Arabidopsis thaliana: one gene and its partner. The protein of the gene in region 2 interacts with the protein of the main gene of each other region in a pairwise test. Each region holds a gene or a part of one and is shown on either strand. Other genes may lie near its edges. The genes, in order: AT5G45490 and AT3G23060.

Region 1 (5,888 bases), on a different chromosome or scaffold from region 2:
TGAAGTTTCTTCCAAAACTAAAAGTGGAGTGGAGGGATTTGAGCAAAAGGTACTTTCCGGAACTCAAGTTCTTGGAGAAGTATCAGTGCCCTCAAGTTAGTCTCTGCCCCTGCGATGGAATTGGAATCTGGCGCAAGCCTGAAGAAGATGAAGTCTAAAGCATCTCAGAACTGAGAGTTTCTCGGTTTATCAAGTTTTCTTCCTCGTTGTCTTTTTCTTTTGTTGTTGTTGTTGTTGTGTGTTTGCTTCCTCATTTCCCATTGATGTCTTTCTGGTTTTGCGTGCAAGTGTTGTTGTTTGTGAACAGTTGAATAATGGAAATTTGCTTTGCTTATTATGTGATACTTGTGTTTTACAGAAGCTACGAAGGAAGAAGAAAATATATTATAATTTACTGAGAAGGTCTACAAGTGAAGAGAGGCTAAGAGCAAGAAACTCTGATAAACTGCAAATGCAAGAGTACTAAGGAAAGAAGCTCTCTTAATAGTCTCTCTGCTAATTGAAAGGTCAAGATACATTACTCAGAGATTCTGGTTTATTTGATAACAACAGTGTAACAAACAGACAACATCAAACAAGAAACACATACAAGAAATAAAAGAAGCATAAGCAAGGTTGATAATAAGCAATCTTGAGCCAAGAGGCTGAGTCAAGTTATCCACTTCTCAGGAGCTGGCCTGGTTTGCAGGTTGGCGGTTCGATGAGTCGGTTTGTCCATGGGTAGAACCAACAGGGCCAACTTCATCGTCAACAAAGACGGGATCACGCTCAGCCAACAGTCTGGCAGCCAGAGGAAGACCACGAGACTTATTCATCAGCTCATCTATACATTTCTTGTCGTTCCTTGGTGACTCTTTCTGTTTATCTTTAACCACTGCATCATATATCTTCCAGACACTCTGATGATCAGACAGCGGCCAAAGACGATGGATCTCATGTTTCTGAGCAACAAGGTTCTTCGCCAGATTCTCATCTCTGGTCGTGTATATGACTCTCCCACCAGACCCTTTAGGGAATCCATCTGAAAGATACTTTCCCCATTTCTCATCCTCCTTGAGTTTCGCATCAAGCTTTTCGTCCCAGTTATCGTTTTCCCGAACATCATCAAACACAATCAGATATTTCTTCCACCTCAGATTCAAGTGAAGTGCATAGAGCAGAGCAGAGAGCTCCTTCTCTTTCTCCGTCTCTCTATCAATTTCTCCAGCTTCCTGATTGCTTGCAACTTCCTCATTGTCCTTAAATTCTTGTTTGGCATCAGTACTGATAGTTTCGAGGATTAACTCTTCAACTCCAAGACCCTTCAAGATCTTCTTCAACACACATATCTTCCCATCAAGTCCCTCCTTAGATTCTTTGTTTTCCATAGACACCCAAACCCTGGGAGCATAAACACTCTTCACAGCTTCATCATTGAAGATCTTCTGGCATAATGCTGTCTTCCCAACACCATATTCTCCGACAATCACAAGACTCTTGAACTCCCTCCTAACCTTCTGATCCAACAAGAAGTGTTGCAATGACTTGATCTCGTTATCGAAACCGTGGATGTCATGGCCCGGAAGTTTAGACTCGGTTTTCAGACGCTCTTCTTCTTCATTATCATCTCTCTTCTTCTCCAAGTTTCCTTTAGCAAGACCATTTACGTCGAGCCAGTCCTTACAGGTCGTAATGAAGTTGGTTGTGAATTCGTTTGTGAGGACTGCCTGTTGTAGATTTTTTGAAGGCATATTCAAGGAAAAACGGAGAAATCTGCAGAAAGAAGATGATGAAGAAATGGTTAGGCAAAGGAGAGAGAGAGAGAGAGAGGTATGAGAATTAAGTAAGGAACACTTTTGAACTACAACAATTAAGTTGATTTTAGTAGATTGGACATAGAAAATTAGTTATTTAGAGACAGATTGAATCGGTAACAAAAGACATTGGGCCAAATTCATAAATTACGTCAGGTTATATTATAGTATAAATAATTATAATCTTTTCAAAAAGCTGATAAATAGACAAAAACCGATAGCCGGCAAGAAAAATTATAATCAATATTGTTTTAAAAAAATGTTTTTAGAAAAATGCGAAAATATCACATTACTAATTTTTTGTTCCAAAAATATTATCACTAGTTTATTTTCCCAATAATACCACTAATTTTTGTATAAAAATGTTTGTTTGACCAAAATAAATTACAATATTTCCACCATTCAAAAGAGTCTTCTTAATATGAATTTGTGATATTCTTGAAAAAAAAAACTAAAATATAGTATTTTTAGAACAAAAACTTTAAAAATGATATTAAGAAAAGTGCCTTTTTTTTTAAATTGATGTGATGTAAAACCTTTGAAGAACAAAAGAGTTTTTATCATTTAAGAAAGAAAAAAAAAACAATTATCTAAAATCAAATTGACGTTTTTTTCATTTTTAAACAGACGTGTTTGATTATTGTATAATCACAACTTGTTTTGCATAAAAGTTTACTAATAAATATAAATAAATATTAACGACAAGATACATCGTTCCCACGTTAATATATACACAACAATTTCGTTAGGAAAATATAATTAAAAGACCTACATCTCTAAAGTCATCGTTATATTGACATACAAAAGTCGTCGTTACTATACTTTTAAAGCTTCGATTATTAAAATGCCCGACTCTACCATGGTTAATACATCCAACCCAAGTGTAACATATTTTTTAGTTTATATCCAGCTGTGATTATTATTATATTTAATAGGTAATATTAGAATATAAAGTTGAATATCCCAACTCGCTTTCTGGAAATTTTGTCATCACATGAGAGACAAAGACGTGAGAAAATAAATATTTTCGTAAGTAAAATTAATATGGTTGGTGGGGAAATTTAATTTTGGAATTTTTTAAAATTATCTATAATTGGAGAAAATAAATGACTCTTAGACCATAGCCATAAATACTCTGTATATCCATTCGAATTTAACGTTACTGGCCACGTCATGTGATAATAATTGAATTGCTACCAAGTAAGGGAAAGTACCAAGTAAGTTCCACTAGAAAACGTGATTTTCGTTAGAAAATAACGAAGCAAGAAGTATGGTCAACAAATGGTTCGATATATTTAATTCCATTTTTGGTTGCCGGGTAAAAAAGAGAAAGTTAGAAATATTATAAAGTTTGAATATATAATTAGAAATTTTTTTAAAGAAAAACTTAAAAGTGGTTTCTTGGAGAAGTAACAAATATTGAGATGTGAAAACTTTTCCCGTTGTCACTCATTCCAATGTCTAAGGTCATTGAGATAACCTCGTAATCGTATATCTAACTACTATACTTTTGCAGTGTTATTCTTTAACCATGTGATTTTAAGGAAAAAGACGAGAAATATTTAGATAAAAAAGGGATTAAAAATAAAATATGTTTCTATAAAACCACTCAAAATAGTTAGTTTAAATAAATTTATGCAAAAAGAGGACAAGATAAACATAGCATTATAATTTTTACAAAACAAATATAGCATATATTCCCTTCATATCATTTCGTTATCAAAAGAACCAGTGGGCTCTTTGAATACTTGTTCTTCACATTTTAAAAATGAGGTAAAGAGTAAAAATTAGCAACAGACACGAATCAGATAAATTTTCGAAAATTAAACCAAAAAAAAAAGAAAAAACTTAGAGACCTGTAAGAACTGTTTGACTAACCTCAAGGTCTCCAAGTAGCCTCCAATGGCTGTCCAACCAGAATAATTCAAACCTTCACACACAACAAAAAGCCTCAAAAGCAAAAAAACTCATAGTAAAACCAGAAAAAGAAAGAAGTCAACCTCTTTAGATGTATCTGTGTTAGATCTCATAAACCATCAGTTCTTGTCTGTTTCAGCAAATCAGTTTCAAGATGGTGAACGCAATCCCAAAGCCTATCAAGGACATTTGGGACGAATGGAGCATTCGAAGTACCTTAATCTTCAGTCTCAGCCTTCAAACATTTCTCATTTTCTTTGCACCTCAAAGAAAACGCTCATCCAGAAAAGTTTTACTCTCTTTCATTTGGTCAGCTTACCTTCTTGCTGATTGGTCTGCCAATTTCGCCGCCGGACAAATCTCAGATAGTCAAGGAGATGATCCAGAACCCGGAGAACCGAAAAAGAGCGCCGAGTTGTTTGCTTTCTGGGTTCCTTTCTTGCTCTTGCATCTCGGTGGTCCAGATACAATCACTGCCCTTGCCCTTGAAGATAACGAGCTCTGGCTCAGGCACTTGTTGGGTCTTTTCTTTCAATCAGTTGCAACCGTTTACGTGCTTTTGCAGTCGTTACCCAATGCTCTTTGGAAACCTATTTTGCTGGTGTTTGCGACCGGGGTGATCAAGTATGTCGAGAGGACATTAGCTTTGTACCTGGCGAGTCTTGACAAGTTCAAAGATTCCATGATTCAGCGGCCTGATCCTGGACCAAACTACGCAAAGCTCATGGAGGAATACGCAGCCAAGAAAGATATGAAGATGCCTACACAGATTATCAAGGTTGGCGAGCCTGAGAAAGATCCAAGAGACGATGCTCCGGTAAAGCCTCCTGACGGGTTCACTCCACTCAATATTCTCCAGTACGCCTACAAGTACTTTAATATCTTCAAAGGTCTTGTGGTTGATCTCATCTTTACATTTCAACAACGAGCTGAGAGCAAGAGATTCTTTGACTCGCTGAAAGCAGAAGAAGCTTTAAGAATCTTAGAGGTTGAGCTCAACTTTATCTACGCAGCTCTATACACGAAAGCCGAGATCTTGCACAACTGGATAGGATTCCTCTTCAGGTTCATTGCCCTGGGATGCCTTGCAGCAGCTCTACGCATCTTTCAATACAAGAGCAAGAAAGATTATAGTGGATTTGATGTTGGCCTTACTTACGCATTGCTGTTAGGAGGAATAGCTCTGGATTGCATCGCTCTTATCATGTTCTGTGCATCTGATTGGACGTTTGTCAGATTGAGGAAGATGAAGGACGAAGTGGACGATCCACCCACCTGGTCCGACAACATTCTTAACTGGATTCTTGAAAACATTCTCGGGGTCAGGAAATTGAAGGTGGAGGAGTATGATGAATGCTACAAGAATACACAGTCTCATGAAGTGCCCAACACGAGTACTAAGAAAACACCATTTCTTAAAAGGATTCTTAACAGGATTCTCAGGGTGAGGGAGTTGAAGACAGAGAAGTCTCATGAAGTTCTCGACAAGAGTACCAGCAAAATACCAGGTCAGGAAGTGCCCGACAAGAGTGCCAAGACAATACCATGTCATAAAGTGCTCGACACGAGTTTCATGTATCGCCGGTGGTCTGAGTATGTACATGCACACAACCTGATCGAATACTGCCTAGGTTTAAAACCGAAGCGAATCCACCATACCAAGGGTTTCATACACATCGCCTTTGACAAGGTTATCAACATACTTTACATTGGCCCCGCATTCACAAAACTTGGAAGTGTCATTGAATCCTGTTTTAGAGTCACAAAACAGAGAATTCATCAGACTTTCAAGTGGATTGACGGTAAAGTAAGTCGTTTATGCAAGAAATACCCGAAGTTGAATGAAGAGTACATTAGGTTTAGCTTCTTCTGCATATTTTACATTCCTAGTCTACCTGGACGCTGGATAAAAAGTTTTATGGAGTTCTTTGGCATCCGAGCTCAGCTAGATGAGGTGATCTACACATCTAGTGATCGTCTCACCCTGGATATGTGGGAACACATATTCGGAGAGGTTAAAGCCAAATCCCGTTTCGCTGACGACTCTGAAAGCGCCATGAGGGTATCTTCAGCAAGAGGTGACTGGACACTGCGCGACATACAAGGTGACCCAGAAACAGAAAAAAAACGTGAGAAACTTCTACGCTATGTGATGGAAATGGATTACGATCAGAGCCT
Region 2 (5,315 bases):
TTTCCAAAACAATGCTAAATGCAAATAATATATCAAACAGAAAAGACCCAGATTACACAAACAATAAATATTCAAATGATCTGGACTCTGGAGATAATACGTGTTTAGTTTTGAAAAAGCAGTTTAAGAAATTATAGTAGCATGTCCAATTGTTTACTAAATTAAAACCACAAATTCGAAATGTTTATGTTATTATGATATTTGAACTGCTATATATGGGAGTTTGGACTCTTTTATTTCTGTTTCTGTTTTTGTACTAGACTTTAAGTTTCTGAGTTCAATATATATATAATCAGCATATTAACAATCATTATCATGTACGTGAAGTTTCATTCCAAAGATTTATTTTTTTGACTTAAATATCTGTTTTCTTAATTTCGTACGACCATTCAATTCTTGCAATGTCTAAGAGAGTGGCCATAGGAATTCAAAATTTGATACATGATGACACTTTACAAATAAATCCAAACTAGTACAAACCCAAAAGCCTCATGAGGCCATAATATGCAAGGCCTAGTTTACATCTTTTAGAGGTTCGTTTATTATAGTTTACTTTCCAGGAAGGCCCTTTTATTTACACTTAAGAAAATAAAGCGAAGGGAATATGTTGACACACAAAATAAGAACAAAAGATAGGTGAAAATGTTTTTCTTTTTTTTGAAAATCTACATTGCACTATTTTTGTTTTATGATAAATTAGATTTTAGACATGAAATATCTCCTCATATATCAAACACTTCACAAAAAGGATTCACAAATATTTTCACGTAGTATTCTTTATATACCAATGTTTTGTCTATAATACATTTAATGTGAATTTATACAGGACTAATGTAAATTCTATAAAATCTTATCATAAAATTCATTAAGGAGATTCAGAAATATTTTCCAAGAGACATTGTTCTTGTACTACACATTTCAAAACACTAATAAAAGTAGCTTAAACATTATTTTTACGTAAAAACAAAAACCAATTCCTAAAACTGTATTCTTGTAAAGACATGTAGGAAATATTTATAAATATTCTCTCTAACTCGTCAAATAATATATGAGATCATTTTTACACATGTAGCATCAGTTTAGGAAAAATATAAATTAAACAGTATATCTCGCATAATACAGAAATTTGGTATGGTCCAATATGAAATTCAATGTATATACATGAAATTGTTTAGAAAGATTTGGAATTTTGACAAGTATATTACATGCGGATATTTTTCTTGAAATTGAACAAACATAGAAAGAAATTTACAGTGTATTTAGAGATTTTAAGTCAGAAATACGCATTTAATTTAATTTTACTTACATAGTAAGAAATCTAAAATTTCATTTGTTAAATACGTAATTGCTGACGTCAAAAAGATGTAAATTTTATAGAAGAATTTAAAAATTTTGAACACGTAAACTACATGTAGATATTTTTCTCGAAATTGAACAAAACGTACATAGAAATTTACAAAATATTTAAAGATTTTAAGTCAAAGGATAAGCATTTAATTAAATTTTAAATAGTAAAAAATCTAAATTTTCATTTGTTAAATACGTAATTGGTGACGTAAGAAAATGTTGTAAATGTTTTAGTAAGATTGAAAGTTTTTGACACGTAGATATTTTTCCCGATATTGAACAAAACCTACATAGAAATTTACAAAAATCTTTAGAGATGTTAAGTAAGAAATACTCATTTAATTCTATACTACTTAAATAGTTAAAAAATCTAAATTTTTATTTGTTAAATACGTAATTGCTTACGTAAGAAAAAATGTAATTTCCTTATAAATTAGTAACGGCCAAAACATAATGATTATAAGTTAACAAAAAGAAAACTAAAGAGCCTGAAAAATAAATATAAAAATATATATACAATGTAGACCTTTTATGAACAAATTTGTAACTCTATATTTGAAAAACTTTGCAATAAATTGTTAAATATAAATTAAACCTAATGCATCACTCATGTAATCATTGGCATAAAAACTATAATATATTTTCTTTGTGAGCCACCGAAGTTTAGCTTTCTGTCACTTTGACCCTCTCTAATTATTCATAGTTTTAAAACCAACCCTCTCTAAAAATACTTAAAAGCAAACTCTTCCAAAATCAAAACCTCTTCTTACACAGATTTTTTTTTTCTCTGAGAGAGACAGAGAGAGCGAAACTTGAGAGACCAAAATCCAATCTTTTCAACAATCGATTCTCTCTGAGAAAACCAACAATAAAGCTAGACACTTTTTTTTGTGGGTTTGTCTTCTTCTTCGTTCATGCACCATGTTGTGTTACGTGAACGAAGAAGCTATATAATCAATAAATCTTATCGATTTGTTGAGTTTGGGAATCGGAGAGAAAGATGTTAACAAAGGTGCTTAGTAAGGAGGTTAAGCCATGCCTTGCTTGTCCAATCTGCACTAATCCGTTTAAGGATGCCACCACAATCTCCGAGTGTCTCCACACCTGTAAGTGTAACCCTTCGATTGTTTTTTCCTTTATCTTTGTGATTTAGATTCTGATTTTTTGTTTGTGACTATCTCTCTGTTTATTGGTTATATTAATTAGTGTAGACTAGAGATTATATCAGATTGATTCTGAAACTTGGAAGTTGAAACCGATGTTTTGTTTAGCTTTTTGGTGTTGTTGTGTGTGTTTCAACATGTATCTGTGTAAATATTAAGGTAAGCAGATAAGGACTGTTTTTTTTTGTAAGTGGATGATTCAGTGTCTGTTTATGTCTTTGTGATTTCAAAGTTGCTGTTTCTTTAGCTTGTTATGTTTCTAGTCCTGGCTTTAAGTATTGGTATATCTTGTGTCTTTATATGAATTGGGACTTGTGGAATTTGTGGTAACAGTTTGCAGGAGCTGCATTCGTAACAAGTTCATAAATGAGAGAGTGAACGCTTGTCCAGTCTGCAACGTTAACCTCGGTGTTTTTCCTCTAGAGAAACTTCGGTATGAACTTGTTTGATTCTTAGCATTTGCATCTATCTTTATGCTTTTATGTGATTTGAGGTATCTATATAAGTGCAGGTCGGATTGCACTTGGCAGGATTTGAAGCTGAAAATCTACCGAGCAATGATGGAAAGCTTAAAGAAGGCAGGACCTAAAACTGTTGCAGCGTCTGTGAAATCTTCGAAAAAGAAGAGAAAATCTCGAACTTCACTGCGGGTCTCTTCATCTAGAGTATCATCCTCACCTGATACTCCATTGGAACCAGCCAATGTGGTTGTGGAACCACCTAATGTGGTTGTGGAGGAGAAACATAGGGAGACCGTTCTAGCTCTTCAAAGCACTAGAAAACCGATAATCACGTTCCAGAAACGTGGGAGAAAAGCTTCACTCCCGAAGAAGATTGATTCGAAACCAGAACCCGAACTGCCTCCTAAGGAGCCTAAAATTAAGAATCTATTTGACCTGAACAACGAACCTGAAGACAATGGATTGGTAAGTATGTATATGAGTCTTTGTATAACTATTGTTCTCCTTTGTTAACTATCTGTTTGCAACTAATGTGTTTATGCATCTTAGGACGAAGCTGAAGGATCAACTTTTCAGGAAGTCGTACCAAAGGAGAAAGATCTTTGTAAACCTATTTTCTCTCTCTCTGTCACTCTAAACATCAACGATACTCCTCCTGATATCGTTGAGCCTGAGATAAGTTCGGATGACGACACAGAGGAATCTGTTGAACCTATTCAGAACAAGTGTGTTGTGAATAGAGAAACAAAGGAAGTTCCTGTTCAAGTGAATCAAAACAGTCTCCTTATTAGCTCTGATAGGGATAGAGAGGACAACTCTGGTCAGAAACTGAAGACCAATGGTGCTGCTACCTCCAGATCAAGGAAGAAGAAAGGTAAGAAACCGGTGGAAAAGAGCTATTCTTTGAGACCCCGAATAGGCAGGAGGACGGTTAATCCAGCAGCTGGTACTACTACACCAGAAGCTCCGGTTTCCGTGGAAGAGGAGATGAAAGTTGAAGAAGGACGTAACAACAATCCAGTTTGGTTTTCACTAAAGCCTTCCAAGACTCAGTAAAACTTTTTTTCTATCTTCTTTTTTCATGTCTTTAACTTATGATTCTGTTTATATTTGAAGGACTCGGTTTCTTCGGTTTTCAGGAACATTGAAATGCTACTTCCACCGATCACCGCTTGCTGCATAAGAGTAAAGTAAGTACTAATTAAATTTCAACTATAATCTCTGTTGTTGTTGTAGAATGTGTGATATTGATTCTTTGATTTGTTTTTATGTTCACAGAGATAGCAACATGACTGTCTCATATCTCAAGAAGTATCTAATGGTGAAGCTCGGTCTCGAAAGCGAAGACCAAGTAAACTAACTCTTCTCTCTATCTATGTCTCACTCTCTCTTGTCTTTTAACTCTAATATTTTTTGATGTTCTTTTGCAGGTGGAGATATGGTTAAGGGATGAGCCAGTGTGTTCGTCACTGACACTACATAACTTGGTGGATTGGTGGGTCCAAACAACTCCATTGCCTGAGCGACAAAGCGCGATGGTCGGAAGCTCCGCTGCTGAATTCATCATGGATCTCTATTACAGCTTCAAATCTGACGCCTCTGACTCTGGCTCTGCCTCTGAATAATTCTTCTCAGAACTTCAAACTTTACTCTTCTTCTAAACTCATTTCTTGCAGAATAAGTTTCTTTTGAAAGACTTCTAGTTTTAGCATCTTTCTTTATTTAATAATTGCTGAGACCTAAATATGGAAAACTCTTTATTTATTTGATTTGCTTGCTTTTTGAGGACTCAAACGGTATCGTTTTGTACTAATTAAATAGAAGCTCATTTTAGCTAGCTTGAGTTATATTTGATAAGATGCGCCGGTTTTGTGCTCTGTTTGGTTTAAGGTAGGGTTAACGAAAGATCTGTATCCAAACAGTCTTCTTTTTTGCCCGCCATGGATAAACACAGAGCCAGGAGCTTAGTGACGAACTAAAGGTGAAATTTTTATTGAAAGTTTCAATTTTTATATGGATTGGATTACAGAAACATTTCTATGTGAATAAACCAACAATGGCGATGAAGCCCAGTCTCCATTTTTGCCCAACTACTGTCACGAAGAAGTTTGTCTACTCGTTTCAAAGCTCCTTCTGCTTCCGTTTCTTAAGGTATAGTTCATCAATTTCACTTGGGTCTTGTAAAGGTGTTACCTTTAGTTCGAGAAATGATCAAATTGCATCGAGGAGGTTTAGCTTTAGTAGGGATTGTAATAATGGTGTGTGGCTAGAGAATTGGAATAGAATTCAGAAACGTAATCAACCTAAACCTCCAAAGGTAGTTGTGAATTATCGAAAAGAAGGG

Evidence for each region.
Region 1: the proteins of AT3G23060 (region 2) and AT5G45490 interact in a two-hybrid assay, tested with the Arabidopsis thaliana proteins (one large-scale study listed by BioGRID).

The regions. Positions count from the first base shown.
Region 1 is NC_003076.8:18,426,906-18,432,793, reverse strand, and holds AT5G45490 (P-loop containing nucleoside triphosphate hydrolases superfamily protein), read right to left. Parts: upstream 3,748-5,888; 5' UTR 3,672-3,747; intron 2,078-3,671; exon of another isoform or gene 1,753-2,077; 5' UTR 1,731-1,752; coding exon 666-1,730; downstream 1-665. Other genes in the region: AT5G45500 (RNI-like superfamily protein), read left to right, coding at 1-158; AT5G45480 (transmembrane protein, putative (DUF594)), read left to right, coding at 3,865-5,888. UniProt on the Arabidopsis thaliana protein: Possible disease resistance protein.
Region 2 is NC_003074.8:8,198,521-8,203,835, forward strand, and holds AT3G23060 (RING/U-box superfamily protein), read left to right. Parts: upstream 1-2,115; 5' UTR 2,116-2,347; coding exon 2,348-2,453; intron 2,454-2,843; coding exon 2,844-2,943; intron 2,944-3,021; coding exon 3,022-3,436; intron 3,437-3,520; coding exon 3,521-4,023; intron 4,024-4,087; coding exon of another isoform or gene 4,088-4,110; coding exon 4,111-4,161; intron 4,162-4,249; coding exon 4,250-4,322; intron 4,323-4,401; coding exon 4,402-4,596; 3' UTR 4,597-4,815; downstream 4,816-5,315. Other genes in the region: CFM3A (CRM family member 3A), read left to right, coding at 5,028-5,315.